Linked DNA regions of Pelodiscus sinensis. The protein of the gene in region 1 interacts with the protein of each later gene in a pairwise test. Links are inferred from orthologs where the notes say so. Each region holds a gene or a part of one and is shown in the gene's direction. Other genes may lie near its edges.

Region 1 (8,931 bases):
TCTGCTGCTGAAAAGAAATGTTATGCATAGCCAGTCATTTATTTAGCTGTGCAATGTGTAACTAGTAGGATCCCAGGACATGTGCAAAATCAAGGCTGGCTCTCCTGTACAGACAGAATGGAAGGCTGCCTAGAGAAGCATCATTTGTCAGGTAGTAGACTGTTCAGTAATTGATTTTGTATCAGTGACTGTGGTTTGATGGAGGCAAGCATACACTAGTTGATCTACCCTAACACAACCTCATGAAACGGATTCTATGAGGTTTTATCTCTGCTAGTTAATTACTAATTTTTGGTGACATGGGTGTAATTTTTTGAGACCTCTCCCCTCCCCATCTAACTGTTTGCTAGGACCAAACTCTTTTTTTCCACAGAATGTGGTTGGCATGAGGTGATTGGGCCACATTCTGGCTCTTATCACACAGGTGTGTGAGAGAAGAGACCAGAGGGATCTCTTTATTGTTATTATAATAATAATACCATGTGTGCTGGTCCAGGAGGTCTTCATAATTCAACTGCTTGATTGCCAGGAACACCAATAATGGGAAGGGGTTAATTCCACTGGAGGTTCTAATCACTCCAAAAGAGGCATTGTTGATACTCTGCACCTAATGAAAATGTCTGTTCCTGCTCCTTTGTGCACTTACACTCATAATCTCTGGAGAGAATCTGCCTTTGACTCTCTTCCAAAGAAAGAATGGCTCTGGGAACTGCTGCTGGTGTAATGTGACTGCCACAGTGGAATGATTAGTTGAATAGTCTTTCGATAGTCAATCCTGAAAGCTTTTCTACCCCTCTGCATCCCATACCCCTCATTCCTGGTCTCATAAGAACTTAAGAATTGTCATACTGGGTTAGACCAAAGGTCCATCTAGCCCAGAATCCTGTCTGCCGACAGTGGCCAATGCCAGATGCCCCAGAGGGAGTGAACACAACAGGTAATCATCATGTGAGCCCTCTCCTGTCATCCATTTCCAGACAAACAGAAGTTAGGGACACCATTCCTACCTATCCTGGCTCCCTTCTTGGTCCCCCTTCAACTGGGTTGCAAGAAAAAAAAGTTTGCAAGCCACTGCTCTGTGCAAACATGAATTCTCTCTGCTACCCCTGCCCATCGTGACATTTGTTTTGAAATGCTTCAATACCTTCTCAAATGCACAAATTGCACCTGGTATTCAATAGTTCCTGCTTCTCCCTCCCACCATTTTGTTTACAGATATTGCCTCTGCCTCAAATTATGTAAGACTCCCACAGGTGTGAGCTAGAAAGGGCCTTTCTATACACTGGAAAAGTGACTTAACAATAAATATCTCTGGGGGTATGTATACACTACAGAGTTTTGTTGGAAAAACGGCCATTTTTCTGACAAAACTTGAATTACGTCCACATTGCAATCACATTCTTTCAAAAGTAAATTGAAAGAACAGAGGGGCTTTTCTGACAGTGGTATTCCTCTTTTTATGAGGAAGAATGCCTTTTCTGAAAGAGCTCTTTCGGAAACAGGTGGGTGTGAACAGGGAGGACGGTTTTCTGTCGAAGAAGCCTCCAGGAAATAACACAGGTGCCCTGGTGGCTACTTTGTCCAAAGTAATCACAACTCTATAGTTCTTGTCTTCTGGCTACTCTTAAAGCTGCAGGCATCCTGGTCAAGCCTTGTGGTAGGAAGCTGGACTTGGAGCAGCACTCTGACCACGTGGATCTCCCTGCCACAGGCCTGCTCTCTGATGGCACAGCCACAAACCCCAGAGACTCCTCTAGCCCTCACAGGGAGCAACCCCAGGGGTCCCAGGACCCACCTGGGGGATCAAGAGGCGGGCATCCTCCTGGTCCGTAGCAGAGATTCTGTCCCTCCTTGATCTGTAGGCCGAGGAGGAGACATTGCAGGATCTCTGCTCCAAGCACTGCAATGCAAACATCTTTGAGCACATGACCAAGTCCCTGGCGGAGTGTGAACACTCACCCCGGAACTTAGAACAGGTCCAGAGTAAGGTCAAAGAACTCCATCAGGGACACATCGGGGCCAGAGAGCGCAGGTTGCACTCAGGGGCAGGATCCCACACCTGCCCCTACTATCAAGAGCTCCCACAGATCCTTAGGGGCCTCAAGACCGCTGTCATCACCCGGCTCAAAGGAGGAGGGGAAGGAGAAGGACCAGGGACAGTAGTAGAAGACGGACACTGTCACCCTGTCCCTGTTGCCTGTCAGCCAGGACATCTTCCAGGCCTCATCTGACGCTGGGGAGGGATCTTCAGGTGAGCGCTCTCAGTTTGTCACACAAACAGAGTGCACAGGGGGCCGTTCTTATGAGACCAGGAATGAGGAGTATGGGATGCAGAGGGGGCTCTGGGTTTGGGGGGAGGGGATCAGGGCTGGGACAGAGGGTTATCTGGACAGAGGCTTATCTCTAGTAGCTCCTGATCAATGGTGCAGTAGGGGGATAGACAGGCAACTCCTCTACATCAGGAATGCTCACCTGGGAGGTTCCATGAGAATCATTATCCCCATCCTTTTAAAGTTCTACATGAAACTATGGGGGAGGGGAAGGGTTTGAGACAGCATGGTTTCAAATGCCAGCAGTATGAAGACAATCTACTGCTATACATCTTTTTTCCTCCAACACAGATGGCATCATCTCCCAGATATTCTTCTACAGTGACAATGACAAGACAACCAGGTGGCTAAAACTGAATTCAGGCAAAAGAGATGATGGTAAGGGTGGAAAGAAGAATATGGTTTGAAAACATAAAATCTCACCCTCTCCTGAAGGTATCTGCCCTCAGATTATCAAATGACTCCTCATTGCTGCTGGACATTCAGATTAAAACAGCTGCAACAAACAAACACACACAAACAAACAAACAAACAAACAAAACCAAAACAATCACCTCTATGTGACTTGTCAAGAGACCACACATTTTATAAACATGGATTATGGGCAGTATGATCTACGCCTATTGTGACCCATTCTAGGTATGAATGCTTCACCTTTAAATGAGTTTGTTAGTCCTCAGCAATACCAACCACTGAGATGATATATTGTCCATTAATATAACATCTGTTTGATGTACAGGCTCAACAAAGAATAATTCTTCAGATTTGAAGTCTTGGCTGTAGTCTTCAAACTATCTGTGGAACTGTCCACGATACTGTAGAGAACAACCTTTTTCTGAACGACAGCAACGAATGTTTTTGAGATGCTCCTGCACACTTCCCCTGGCCAGACACCCTATCCTCAGCCCACTACTGCACCCACCCTCCTGACCACACATTGCACCTTGCCTTGGTCTGACCCCCTTCCCATGGCCAGACATCCTACTCCCAGTCTGCTCCTGCACCCTACCTCCCATTCAGACCTCGCACCCTCACACCCTCCTGCACCTCACCTCCCTCCCAGAACCTGCACCCTCATTCCACTAACTGGCAGCCCTGTCCAGCATATTGAACCCCCATTTTTGTACCAACCCCAGAGCCTGGGGGGTCCCCAAAATCCACTAACCCTGGAACGCCAGAAGAGTAAGTTTGGCCTATGGGAAGCCCTGAACCTCTGTTCTCCCTCTCCCACTCCCTCTCTTGGTGGGATTGGAGCACCAGGGGAGTAAGGTGTCTCAGTTGGGGGCCACATCAGTGAGAGTTGGGAGTTTTTGGAGGTGTTTTTTTGTTGTTGTTGCTTCTCACTTGTGTGGTCCCCAACTGATTTTTTCTGTGGGGGAGAGGCCCCTGACCCAAAAAAGGTTCTCACCCCTGCCATAAATAAAGAAAACAAGGGAACCGTTTTGTGTTGGACATAAATTATTTACTTTATTTAAAACGAAGTTTGATAAGCTAACAAAAGAAAGTTGAAGCATTTAGTCTGTTTAATAACTTAAATTAATATTTCCAGTCTTACTGGTTAAATTAAACCACTTTCCCTAGCTGCAGCACTAGCAATATGGCTCAGGCATAATTATGTAATTAACGTCTAGTTTCCAATAGTAGCTGGTGGTCTGCGGAAAGATTTGCATTGTGCCAGGTGGGCTGCAGGCCAAAAGGTTTTAGAACCACTGTGTTAGGGGAATGGGAGAGAGCTGTGTTGTGGGGGGATGGGTGGGCAGGGCTAATTGCAGTGCAGCATGACCAGAGGAATGGTGCACCCACCCACAAGAAGCAGCGCGATCCTGGCCATGCTGGCTAGATGCCCCACCTGCACTCATCTAGCACTGGCCCTGCCAAGCAGGTAGAGCAGCAGCAAGGGAGCAGGGAGCCATGCCAGCTGCGCTGCCCACCATGATTCCAGAAGGTAATTTCTATAAAACCTTTATTACTGTATAGATTGTTGTATATTATAATAAAATCATTTTAACAATCAGTGTTTCCACTCAAAGTTTTCATTAACCTCTCTGATGCATACTCCTTGCATGACTATTTTGAACTCCTTTATATTTAAAAAATCGAGGTCCACATTTACAAAAAAAGCACCCCACAAAGAAATTCCTGTGTACAGGCCTGCTGTCTGTTAGAGGTTCATAGAATCATAGAATAATAGGACTGGAAGGGACCTCAAGAGGTCATCGAGTCCTCAAGGCAGGACCAAGCTCCGTCTACACCATCCCTGACAGATGTCTATCTAACCTGTTCTTAAATATCTCCAGAGAGGGAGATTCCACCACCTCCCTTGGCAATTTATTCCAATATTTGACCACCCTGACAGGAGGATTTATAGCCTTTCTTGAGGGACTGGAGGGAGTGAGGCAGCAGCAAAGGTGTAGGGTTTAGAGGAATGTGGGGAGAAAGCAGTAAGGACCTCCATGGGGATACAAGGAGGGAGGAAGCTCTGAGAGGAGGATGACCAGGAGCTCCTTAGGGGGTGAAGGAAACAGCAGTGATGGAAGGTGGGAAGCTGGAGGACACAGTGAGAGGAAGAAGCAGCAGCTTGGTGAAGAGTAGGACCCATGAAGGGTGGTGGTGACCGAGAGTGAGAGGAAGCAAGCAGTGGCCATGTGAGGGGTGCACAGGTGGCACTGGCCAGTGGGGGACTAGGCAGGGAGGTGTGCGTGAGGAGGAGCTAGAGGGCGGGAAGCAGCCTATGTGGGGAAGGAGAGATGTGTCTGAGGGATGATGGGGGGAGCAGCGTATGTGGAGGGAGGAGAAGATAGTAGGAGGGGACCGACTGTGGAAGGATGCAACAGGTCCGGGGGAGGGCAGTGGCTGGAGTGCAGAATCCTGGCCGAGCTGGGGAGGGCGGGGTGCCCTGCCAGGATTTGGGGGGTTGGCCATATGGTAGAGATAGTCCTGATGCAGGCGGGTTTATAGCCTTTGGGGGTGCGGGGGGGGGGCCGTGCTTCTACCGGCGCAGCCTCGGGCGAAAGGCGCGCGAAGAGGCGGACGCAGCCTGCTCGTTAGAGCAGCGGCAGCCTCTCGAGCTCTGACGCGGATGGTGTGGGGGCGGGAGGGGCTGGCGGCGGCGGCGGCTGCTGAACGCCGGGGCTTCTCCCGTTGACTCAGCCCTGGCAGGAGGCGGCTGCCGCCCGTGCACCTCCTGCGCCGGAGAGCCGGCTCCGGGCACTGCTCCCTCGAGCCGGCCGGCGCCTGCTGCTTGGCTCGCTCCTGCCGGGTCCCGCAGCCCGCCCGGGGAAGCGCCGTTCGCGCGTTATCGCCTCTCGCTGCCTCTGCGCGGCCCCCGGCCTGCCCACCTCTGTCGGTGTCCAGCCGCGGCGGCCCCCGGCGGCGTTGTGGCAAGCGGGGGAGGGGACAGGTTGGCGGGAGCAGCCACATGCCTCTCCCCGCCCGCCCGCAATGACTGCACCTGTGCGTGAATGAAGCTGCTGCACTGAGGCGGGGCGGGAAAGACTCGCCGCGGCTCTGAGGGAATCGTCTTCTTGCGGGTCGCAGCCTCCCCCCGCCCCTTCTGCAAGCGGGAGCCGGAGCGGATCTCCCCGCACGCCCTTGTGGAGGCCCGCGTCCGCACCCCCCACTGACAGGTACCGTGGGGAGGGGGCGGCCCGGCCCCCCCCCTCCTCCGCGCTTCCCAGGGATTTATTGGATGAAGATTTTTATTCTTTATTTTATTTATTTTTGGGTCGCTGGCCGCTCTGTGGGGTGGGAGAGGAGAGAGACTCCAGCGGACACGCTGCCTGTGCCACAGCGCTTCCCTCGCGCGACTCTTCGCCTCGTGGAGACACATCCAGCTGTTCATCTGAAGGGCACGTACATCATGGTCTAGCGGGGGATCTCCCGCCACAAAGCGCCCCCTCCCCTTTTCTCTTTCTCCTTCCCCCCGCCCCCTCCTAACGGTGGACCCCGATACCTTAGGAATAACCATCCCCGCGGGTTGTCTCGGGGCAGCGGAGACCGATGGACTGTTACTCCGCTCTGCAATGTGAGTATGAGCCTGCCTTGGAGGAAGGGGCAGCCGCCGTGCTCCCCTTGTAGCGGCGTGTGGGTTGGGGGGTGGAGGGGCGGGAGCGTGGATGTACCAGGGAAGCGCCAGCAGCAGCGCGCTACGCTCCAGACTCTTGCATGGGCAGCGGGGAACCTGGAGGGAGCAGCTCCCTTCGCTGCTCGCTGGATGTGCTGCCGGCAGCGGGGATGGAGGGATGGAAGGGAAGCGGTTTCCTTTGGGGGCCATGGTACCAGATGAAATTGTGTCAGGAAAGGAGCGATTCTATGACTGCAAAGAATGGCTGTGAAGACCTCATCTGTGCAGCCCCTGTACCGCTTTACTCCCCTCCGCCCCAAAACACATGTGCAGGGAACCGGGAGAGAATTGAAGGGACGGTCCTGCTCCCGAGCGGGGTTGCTCTTGTGGGCTCAGATGTGGAAAGAAAATGCTGGGCAGTCTCTTGAAGGGGAGGAGGGCGGGGGCGGAGAGGGGCGTCAATGGAATCTCTTCCCTACCCGCAGTCACCGCTGACACTTGTGGAGAGGGAAATTTGCTGCTGCTCTCCAAGCCTCTTTTCTTCAGAACCTGCTTGATCGTGACTGTGGGAGACGAGATTTATTGAGCACATTCTTGTTTGAAGAAGGAAAGGGAATTTTTATATTTTTCAGGGCATAAAAGGTCCATTTTCAGTGATTCTAAATTCCATCAGTGATTTCGCCCACCAAAGCTCATGATACTTATATATATAATTTGTTAATCTCTAGGTGCCACAGAACTGCTGGTTGTTTCTAAATTTCATGTATCCCAACTGCCTATGTGTTCCATGGGCAAAAGCTGATGAGCTCCATGTAAAATTTCACTGCTGCTTCCTTCTGTTTCCATGCCTAGTTAGAGGACAGGGCATTTATTTTAGTACTATGCCAGAAGAATAGAGTGGGAGGAGAAAAAGCAAAAATGACAGCACAATCAGGTGGGTTTTTTTAAATAAGGAAATTGCCTTACATTGGTGATCACATATGTGATGTCAGGAACCTCAAGGAGTCTGAAGTCCTATTTCAAAGAGAGCCCTTTTTGTAGTTGCAGTGGTGTGAAAATGTGTGTGGGGGGTTAATATAAAATTGTTTAATATATATTGACATTTCAATATTTTGACTTGGTCACAATGAAATAAATCTTTATCACCCACCAGTGTCTTTCCTCATTCCACCAATTAAATCATTTTCTGAAACCAGAGCAACATGATTCTTGATTCGGGTACCTCTTCTTTAGGAACATCAGTAAAGAGATTGACTTCTTGATTCCTTCTGAATCAGAATTCTAACCTAATGCTCACAACAGTATGCTTGTGGTTGTGCAAAATTTAGGTAAAGATACTGGGGGGAGGAGGCTGACCTAGGGCTAATTTACATCACTATAACTTCATTAGGGCAAATATGTCCCTGTGTAACTCTGTTAGTTACATTGGGGAAATGCACTTGGCTCAGTGAATACTGTAACATCAGGGAAGAATTTGGCCCATGAGTTAGTCCTAAGGTACACCTGGCTAAATAAGATCAGAATAAATCCCTGAGGGGCTTGTAAGCTCTCTGTAGGCCTTTACCACAGACTGTAATAATTGGTTCAGTATTCCCAGTGTTCCTACTAAGGAATTAAGGGTAAAGGGCTATTAAAGCCAACTTTCTGGACACAGTTAGATGCATTATTGAGTGTATTATAATGAAAGCAAACCATTTGGTACCTGAATCAGGGAAGACACTGGGAATTATTTTGTTGGATCAAGCCTATGAATATACAGTGTAGATATCTTTTTTCTTACTCAGTGTGCATTTTAAAAGGGTAAAGAAATGTATATTTGTGGCAAAGGTGTGTTTTCATTGTCATCACCTCTTGACCTTATGAAATAAGATATTATGCTCAGCAATCCCCCTGTAAAGGTGTGTGCCCTTTCCAATTTTCACATCTTATCTCTTGCTGAATCTCTAATGATTGTGATGAAATCATTTTGAAATACTAATATTACTGTCTTTCGAGAAAGATAGGCTTTATTTATTTCCTATATGGCTTGACTTTCCTCATCTCTATTCTAAAGCAATAGTGTCTTTAAACAGTAACCAGTCTGAGGAAGCTTGATGTGTTCAGGATATTAGCTGATTGGTTTCTTATAATTCCAAGAGGTTGAAAATAAGTATGTACCAAAACTTATTACTATTAAAATCTGTAGCAAAACACCACTGATTTCTCTGGGAGCAGGATAACCCTAATGTTGGTTCAATGGGCCTAGCTCTCTAATACTGGCATAACTCCACTGGCTTCAATGAGGCAGAGGGAAGATTCCTATTTTACCCTGGGGTAAATGAAAGCAGAATCAGACTTTTGTTATATTTTAAGGAGTAGTCAGATTGAGTTGGTTATTTTTCTCTGAGGTCAGGCTACTGAAAGGTATTGACAACAGTGAAGGTATTGTTTCATTTCCTGAGGTGAGGGAGATAGGTAGCATTTTTATCTTGGCATTTTTAACATGCCTGTTCCCATAGCAAAATGCTTAGTTCTCTTATCCTATGACTTTCAAGCTAA
Region 2 (8,972 bases), on another chromosome or scaffold:
ATGCGGGTGTGTAGATTCGGGCTTGTGCTATAGAGCTAAAAATAGCAGTGTAGATGTTTCCGCTCAGGCAGAAGCTTGAGCTCTGAAACCCAGCAAGGGAGATACGAGGGGAAATCTCTGAGACTAAGCTCTGACCTAAGCCAGAACATCTGCACTACTATTTTCCTCCCACCATAGAGCAAGCCAGACTCACTGAGAATCACTGCTGCTGGGTTTTTTATTGTTATTTCTTTGCATTGTAGACATACCCTACTGGCCTGACACCTAGTGGCATTGTTTGCAGTAGCTTTGTTAGTTCCAGGATATGAGAGACAAAAGCTGGGTGAGGTTCCATCTTTTACTTCCGTTGGTGAAGATGAGCGCCGTGTGGCTCGAAAGCTTGTTTCACTCCCCAACAGAGGCTGGTCTAATAAAAGACATGACCTCCCTCCACTTTGTCTCCCTAATGCTAGTGGAATCCTCAGCCCCAAGTTAGCTACCCAGGCAGGGGCAGATGACCGTTTTGCGGGGCCCCGGGCAGCATAATTCCGTGGGGCCCCCCCTTTGCCACAGCGCATGCGCGGGGCTTTCTGAAGCGCGGGGCCCGGGGCGGCCGTCCCGTTCGCCCTGCCCTATATCCGCCCCTGTACCCAGGCCTCCCAGAGGTTCGTAGATTGTGACCATATGGTCTGGTCTGCTGTGTAATACAGTCCAGAAAACTGCCCCAAGAGAATTCCTAGAGCTGATCTTAAATTTTAAAATTGTCAGTAAAGGAGAATTCAGCATGAGGTTGGTAAATTGGTCCAACTCTCACTGGTAAATATTTACATCTTAGCTCCAGTTGGAATTTGTCTAGATTCATCATCCAGCCATTGGTTCATGTTATAGCTTTCGCTGCTAGACCGAAGAGCTGATGACGACGACAACAATGCTAGAATGAACAGGGATCCTCAGAAATCAGCAAGCTGCATGGGGAGCAGCCAAAGTTAGCCAGGAGTGTAATGCCAAGCAGGAGGGAAGGGAGAGGAGAGGCACCTACACAGGTGACCTAATGGGCCTGGCTGTTGGAGCAGAGATAGACATGCACCTCTCATCACTCAGGAGCAGTTAAGCCACTGAAGTAGGCCTAGGAATAGCAACTGAAACCCCCTCTGTCTCCTGCTCATGCCCAACACCTCTCTCACACTTGCCCTGCGTTTCCCTGTGCCCCCAGCTGTCTTTGTATGGTGAGGTTCAGCTTCCTACCATTGTGGGGTAGGACAGGTGTCAGGTCTGAGACGTGCACAGGGCACATTTACTGAACTGGGTCATGCTGGTGAGATAAGCTTTCCCGTCTAGCTTGGGAAACCCATTTCAGGGCTGCGGACTCCAAGCTGCCTGTTGGGTGTAGGGTGGCTTAGCAAATGCTGACTAACAGAAGCTTACATGCCTAGAGGACTTACACACCCAAGGGGTTAGGCAGCAGCTGAATGATATCTTTAAAACTATCATGGCACCTATCAGGAGGACTTATAAGCCTAAAACGTCAGCTAGATGCTGAGGGTCTGGGCCAGCCCCTGTATCAAATACCTTACCATTTAAGGCAGAGGTGGCCAGATGCAGCTCCCAGCTTGCCTGAATCTGGCCCCCAAGGCTCACTTGCCCCCCCCCCAGCACTGGGGAGCCCACACTAGTGCTCCAGCCCCCCAGCTGTTCCCCAGCTGGCTGTAGCACACAATCTACTAGCCTGGGCCCCACCCAGGCCCCTCACTTGTGTGCAGCCCCTGACTCCCTGACTGATTTAAGGGCTAGATCCGCTCACTGGTTCTGCCCAGGTGCACCTGCATGTTACGTCACGGAAGTCAGAGGGGTTATATAAGTGGCCAGAGGAGTCAGCCTGTGCAGAGTCAGTTACAGGATCAAGGCACAAAGCATAGATGAAGGGCAGAAGGGAAGCAGCCCCAGGCAGAATGATAAAGCAGCATTCTCCATGAATGCCCTGACAGAGCCATAGCATGCGTTTAGAACATTTTTTGCTAGGGGCAAATAGGAAATTTTTTTAACCCATCCCTATTATTCAGGGCAAGGAATGAAGGGAGGGAAACGAAGGAGACATGATCTTTTTGAAATATTATTATGTATGGAAAGAGGAAAGATGCATTTCTAATATATTATTGCTCCCCTCCCCTGGTACAGGATATACCATACTGGCAGCTTTCCTTTAGTTTCCCTACCTTTACATCAGCCAGAGCAAGGGTCAGCAACCTATGGCTCTCAAGTCAAATATGGCTCATTAGGGAGCCAGATATGGCTCCTTGCAGCTCGAGCTCAACCCCCCCTTCAACAGGGAGCCTGTGCTGGCACTCCAGCCTTGCGACCCCCCTGAAAAATTGGAGCACCAGGACTGGCTTCCTGTGGGAGGTGGGGGGGAAGCCCTGTGCCTCCCTGTCAGATCCAGATTGCAGGGAAGAAGCAGAGCTAGAAGCGGCTCCACATGCTGCTGCTTCCTTTTCCTTCCCCGAGCTGGGGGACAGCAGCGCATGGATGTGCTTCCTGGAGAATCCTGCCAATGGGAGTAGCAGAAGGCCATGCCTGGGAAATGGTGCTGGCAGCGGTGCAAAAGCAAGTAAGTGCCCCTCTCTTCTCCCAAATCAGACCCTGCACCCTCTGCCCCCTCACTCACCACCCTGCTGAGACCCTGCACCCCCAGCCCACTCACACACACCCTCCACTAAGACCTCATATCCCCAGCCCACTCCTGCACCCTCCCTTGCTCCTGGACCTCCCTCCTGGCCAGACACCTTGCCCCGCAGTATGCTCCTTCACCTCCCTGCCCTTGGCCACACACCCTACCACCAGCCTGTTCCTCCATACTCCCCTGCTCCTGCACCCTCCCTCATGGCCAGACACTCTGCCCCCCAGCCTGCTCCTGCACTCTCCCTTGCTCCTGCCTCCTTCTCCTGGCTATGCACCCTACTCCCAGCTTGCTCCTGCACTCTACCTCACACCCTCTCCCCGCTTCTTGCACCCCTTCCTTATCCCACTCACCGACAGCCCTGTCTTGCACACTGAACCCCTCATTTTTGTCCGCATCCAGGACCTAGGGGGGCCCACAAAATCCTCTAACCCTGGAACCCCAGCAGAGTTAATCTGGCCTGAAGAGGCCTTGAACCTCAGTTCTCCCTGCCCTCACTCAACGATGGGGATGGAGCACCAGGGAGTGAGGTGTTTCAGTTGGGGGACACATCAGTGAGGTTTGGGGGGTTTTGGAGGGTTTTTTTTGCTTCTCACTTGTGTGGTCCCTGACTGATTTTTCTGTAGGTCAGTGAACCCTGACACAAAAAAGTTTCCCCACCCCTGCCATAAATAAAGACAATGTTGAAACCTTTAGCGTTGGACATAATATTTTACTTTATTTAAAATAAATTCTGGCCAACAATGCCAGACCCCATCCGGCCATAGCGTCCTGTCCCTAGCCCCAAACCTGGAGCAGGCCCCGCGGTCCAGCCCCCATCTGGCTGCAGGAAGTGCTGGTGGCGGTTCTCCTTCTGCTGTGACATGGGTAGGAGGGGAGGCCACGATCCTGCGGTGGCCTTCCTGGCCCAGCCCCTTGTCCAGCCACTGCTGCCTGGGTGCAGCAGCCTAGCCCCAGCCAGCTAAAGTAATCCGGCCCAAGACCCTTCCACTTACTTTATTTCCCACCCACAGTGCCCCGTCCTGCCTCTGGCACTTCCCACACGCCCCAATGCCTTGCTCTGAGACCCTCATACAACCCAACCTGGACTTCTGAACCCCCACATCCACCGCCACAGACTCCTGCAACCTGCAGACTCCTGCACCTGGACTCCTGCATACCCAGCAGCAGCGGAAGTCCCATAAAATGAAGTCTGAGTAAAATGTTTACTTTATGCTATTAATCATCATGTCAGTCATCAATAATATTAAGTTGTATATTTTAAGTCATGTAAATGGGTATTCTTGTACGGCTCTTTGTTGACCACTTGTTCTGAATGTTGATGTAGTTTGGCTCTTTGGTTTGAAAAGGCTGCTGACCTCTGATCTAGAGTGTATACACACCACAAAGAAAAAAATATACTTTTCAGCTTGCTAGTTTGCATAAGCTAAAAACAAAATAGATACGATTTTTAAGGACTTTAAGCCAGATCCATTATTTTATTCAGTGTGCCTCAAAGGAACTCCAATTGCCTTCAGTACACTAATATAAATAACACTTATGTAGTGCCTTTCATCAACAGATCTCAAAATCACTTTACAAAGGGAGGTATCATTATCACCATTTTACAGATGAGGAAACTGAGGTGAGAAGTGACTTGTCAAAGTTAACCCAGCATACCAGTGACAGCATTGTGAATAGAATCCAAGTCTTTAGCGTACCAGTCGAGGGCATTATCCAGTAGGCCACACAACCTCCCGTTATGTCAATAAGCAAGGACCTTAGCATCCAGCCTCTTACTTAATATTTCAGCAGTGACACGTAGCAAGAAAAAGTTAAGTACATTCCAGGGTAAATGACCCAGATTCAATGGTTAGAGACATATCAGTAAATAATATTTGTGGGGTTTTTTGTGTGTGTTTATCTATGTATTGTTAGAGGTTAACGATGTAATCACACAGTCCCAGTCTATGCTGTATTCTGTTAATTCAGAGATCAAAAGGAGAATTTAACATTTAAATCACGGGTGAGCAACCTTTTTTGGGTTGAGGACCACTAACCCACATTCGTCTGTGAAGCTGGGAACATGGATTGATCTACCCCTAATGAAGAGTTGTGTGTCGGGAGCCGGTATGTTAGGGAGCCTTCCAGGGGGTCTGGGATCAGAGGGCAATATGGAAATTCACATCCTTGCCTTTAAAGTTGTGTCACAGCTGCTGAAGATCATGCATCCCTTGGAGGAGGCTGCCTGCAGAGTGAATCAGCAGAGCTCCAAGAGCCTTGAGTGTGGGCCCAGTAACCAGGGGGTGGGGAGAGCCTCTGGTGACCTGCCAGGGGGCAGAGAGACAGGAGCTAGACAGAATCAGCAGAATCAATAGGGAGCCAATCATGTGGGTCCCTGCTGGCACTCGTGGAGGTGGGGAGTGTGTGCCTAACACCCTCCTATTGGTCTAATTCTGCAGCTGTAACACTGAAAGGAGGGAGAGGGAGAGGGAGAGGGCTCCCAACAGGGGGGAGTTTCATTTGCAGGCAGGACTGGCTGCATGCCTCTCTCTCTCTCACAGTCCTTTCCAAAGAGCTGCAGCTTCACTTTCATCCAGGAACAAGCTTCTTTCCTTGTGACCCAGATACAGGTAAGAAAGGCCCAGTCTGCAAACACTGGGGGCATCTCTATGCTGCAGCTGACGTGTTAGGCCGACTTTGCAGCCATTGTAGTAATTATTGTGGTAGCTGGTCTCTACAACACCCTTCTTCTGTCAGTGGTGTGCCCTTACCAGGAGGGCTTCCACCTGAAGAGCAGCAGTGGTGGGGCAGGGTAGCTGGAAGCCAGGGCCTCTTGCCTCTAGGAGTGGGGAGCTGGGCATGGGGAGCCTGAGCAGCAGCCTGGCTGGGATCGGGTATCCTGGGGGCAGCAGAGCTTCCAGCAGGGAGCACAAGCAGTAGCCCAGCTGGGATCAGGCAGCTGGAATGGAGTGCTGCTGGCCTGTAGCAGGAGCCCACTACCGGCCCAGGCATGGAGCGTGGGTGGTGCATGACCTCCATATTTGGGGAGGTGGGCCCTGAGTGCTAGAAGCTCCCTAGAAGGGGAGGCACCCATGCTCAGAGCATGGTCCTGCCCCCTGCTCCACTGCCAACCCCCACTCTGCCCCAAGCCCTGGTGGGCCACATCCCCCAAGGTCCCCACACAACCTGTCCATCATGCCTCTCTCCACCTGCACCTCTAAGAGGCCTCCCCACCTGCCACCCACTCCTCTCTCCCTCTCGGGGTGAAGAGGCATGAGTAGTGGGTGGAGGGGCTGTGAGGGAGGAGCAAAGATGGGGGAACTACAGGGGAAGTGCTGGAGAGGTGTGAGGAGTGGAGAGGGGAGATGTCTGTGAGGGAAGAGTGAGGATGGGGCCTTGGAAGAGGGGAGAGACAGACAGGGAGCAAGAAGAGGAGCAGCGTGGGCAGAGCCATGGGAGAAGAGTGCGACGCAGGAGCGAGGCCTAGGGCAGAGTGTGGGCAGCACACTAGAGGCAGCAGGCCTGTGGCATGCTTCCAAAGGGAGGTGTGCCACATCTTGTTTGGGGTGGCTTAGCCTCCCCTGGCTTATTCTACCCACCATCCATGCATGGAGCCATGAAATTGACAAGAGTGACACTCAACTGCTGATGAAGTAATGCAGTGTCTACATGGACACTGTGTTCCCTAACTTTACTGACATAAGCCCCTGCCTCTCCTGGAGGTGGCAATATTATGTGGGGGTAGATGGTCACTTACAACAGCTGGAGCAAGGCTGTAGTGTAGACACTGACATAATTATGTCAACATAAACTGCCTAGCTAATTCTGTAGTGTAGACCAAGCCTGAGATGCATGCAGCTTTCATGTGATGTGCTACACACTGTACAGACAGCTTGGGGCTGTGTCTTCACAGCAAAATGTTGTGATATTGAAACTGAGAGTCTCTAAGGCTGGCCTGGGGTCTCCAGGAATTTAATATTGATCTTTAATTAAAGATGGTCATGTGCTGAAACCTCCGGGAATGAGTCTAAGTAAAACTGGCAAACTCGATTGTCACTTGTACCTTCATGTAAAAAAACACAACACATTTTTTTGCAGCGAAGATGAAGAATCTTTATAACAGTGCAGTAGGTTGGGTTGGAAATGGTGCTGGTGGGTTTGAACTTTACACACAAAAGGAGCCAGGCAGCAGGTGACATGCAAACGTTGCACAACAGAAGTGTCCAGGGTGCCAAGAGGATGGTTGGAAAAACTTAGGAAAGTCTCTGCAGATCTATAAAACAGATGTACTGGGCTTACACTAAGTGACAACCTTGCACACACACACATGCTTGCCCTATTGTGGTATTTTAACTGGGAAGAAAAACAGGGTGAGCAGAAGTCAGAACCCCATCTGCTTTCATGGAGATCAGTTTAAAATGTTTTATTACAGGCTATGACAATACAAGTAACATATACAAATTAGGACTTTCTGGGCCAGTCTGTGATTCTTACTCATAATGAAAAGTATCTTACTCTGTAAGTAGTCCCATGGATTTGAGTGAAGCTATTCACAGGATAAGGCTTCTTTTCACAATATATAGCATCCATTTAGTCTATAATTTTAATTACAGGAAAACACAAAGGGGCATTTGGTAACACTTTTAACACATCTTGATGAGCAGTTATAGCTACATGTATCTGCGTGAGAATGTTCACCAGGGTGAGGAAGTGGTTATACTCTGACCCCACAAGTCAGTGATTTGGTTGCAAAGTGCCTTCAGGCTGGATTCTAGTGTTTTAAAGGCGGATGTTTGAAACTGAAATGCAGGTTTCAATATGTACCTGTGATTAAACAATTCAATGAGTACTTAATATAAATATACTATATGCTCAGGCATGGAGAGTTTGAGAGAAATTATGTTGAAATGTTGTTAGAAGCTATTAGAAGAATTAGCGCCTTCCAAAGTAGTAAAATTCATTGTTGTGTAGACACTCATGAAAGCAGCTATAAATCTAGCTTAACCAGACAGTTAAAGTGGGTTTATAGCAGTGTTTCTCAACCCTTAGGGGTACTTGAGAGAAGTCTGGGGGGTACGTCACCACAACTGAAATTTGGAGAACTGAATTTTTGGTTTAAGTTTCAGTGTCTTATTATTTTTGTACTTTTTACATCCAAAACATGCATTGCCCACCTGGCTACAATTAAGTTGTTTAAACAAATGTGTTGCAATGGTAGAGAAAATATTTGTCTGAAAACTATGTACTGGGTGTACTTACCATTTTTTTAAAGAGGTATTTTATTTAAAAAAAGGTTGAGAAACACTGGTTTATAGATGTTTTGCTGGAGCATTGTAAGTAGCCAGAGCATACCAATCCTTCTGCCCCAATATGTATCTATATGTGAATATGATGTATATAACTTACCTGTCACTTCACCACCAGTGACTAAAGCAGCCATCCAAAAATTACATTGATAAAATCTTCACACTCTACACCATCATATAGCTCCTTGTACTTACAGTACAATCTATACATCCACACTTGTTTCTTAATTATTCTTTTGCATCCTGCATCCTTTTGTTTCAGATTCAGAGAGTACTTTCAGCAAGGTGGTGCCGATAGGAAAAGCCTGCCTTTTTCGCGGTTATGGCGTGTCTCCAATGAGCACATCTCTTTTGGGAGTCTGCTACAGGAAATATTGGATGTTCTAAAGAGGAAGACTGTTAAAGGCTTTGTGTAAAATGGCAGGTAAAAAGAGATCATTTTCTTTGGTATTGAGAGAATGAGTCATTTTGGAGCTATGCACATTAGGATCAGAAATGTCCTAGCTCCATCGGTGCTTGAATGGGGCTGTAAGGTAACATTTTCTAAAGCAACTAGGGCACTTCAAGTCCCATCGGACTTGGGTGCCTTTGAAAATTTTACCCCAAGTCTACAGTGCTAAGTGGCCCTTCAGCTCCATGGAACTTGATGCTATTTAGTACCTTGTAGACTACTCAGCAAGTAAGGTTTGCAAAAACAGGCTCTTCAACAGCAAATGGGAGCCTGTCCTCCGTATACATTCATGAATAAGTTTCTGAATGAGATCACAATTGTTTCAAGTGTATTTATATTCTTATTAAATCAATTCTTGGTGTTCGTGATGCCCTCTTGGCAGGGCTGCTTTAACTTTTTATCTGGTGCTGGTATCTGTAACCTACTTTTAGTAGATCAACATCTGCTCTTCACATTATTCCTTATATTCACTAATGGTAAAGAAGCAGAGTAGTTTTTCAAGCCCTTAATTAAAATACTCCTGGCTATAGTTGAAACCTCCAACTTAATCACCAGGCTGATGGAAACCTGGCATATCCAT

The links.
Region 2: the proteins of LRRC7 (region 1) and NQO2 interact in a two-hybrid assay, tested with the Homo sapiens proteins (2 studies listed by BioGRID). The two-hybrid records come from large-scale screens. The link is inferred for Pelodiscus sinensis from reciprocal best matches to the Homo sapiens genes LRRC7 and NQO2.

What each region holds. Positions count from the first base shown.
Region 1 is NC_134719.1:20,439,672-20,448,602, forward strand, and holds the start of LRRC7 (leucine-rich repeat-containing protein 7), read left to right. Parts: upstream 1-5,392; 5' UTR 5,393-6,354; intron 6,355-8,931.
Region 2 is NC_134712.1:115,498,690-115,507,661, reverse strand, and holds the start of NQO2 (ribosyldihydronicotinamide dehydrogenase [quinone]), read left to right. Parts: upstream 1-5,110; 5' UTR 5,111-5,265; intron 5,266-8,203; 5' UTR 8,204-8,358; coding exon 8,359-8,365; intron 8,366-8,972. UniProt on the Homo sapiens protein: The enzyme apparently serves as a quinone reductase in connection with conjugation reactions of hydroquinones involved in detoxification pathways as well as in biosynthetic processes such as the vitamin K-dependent gamma-carboxylation of glutamate residues in prothrombin synthesis.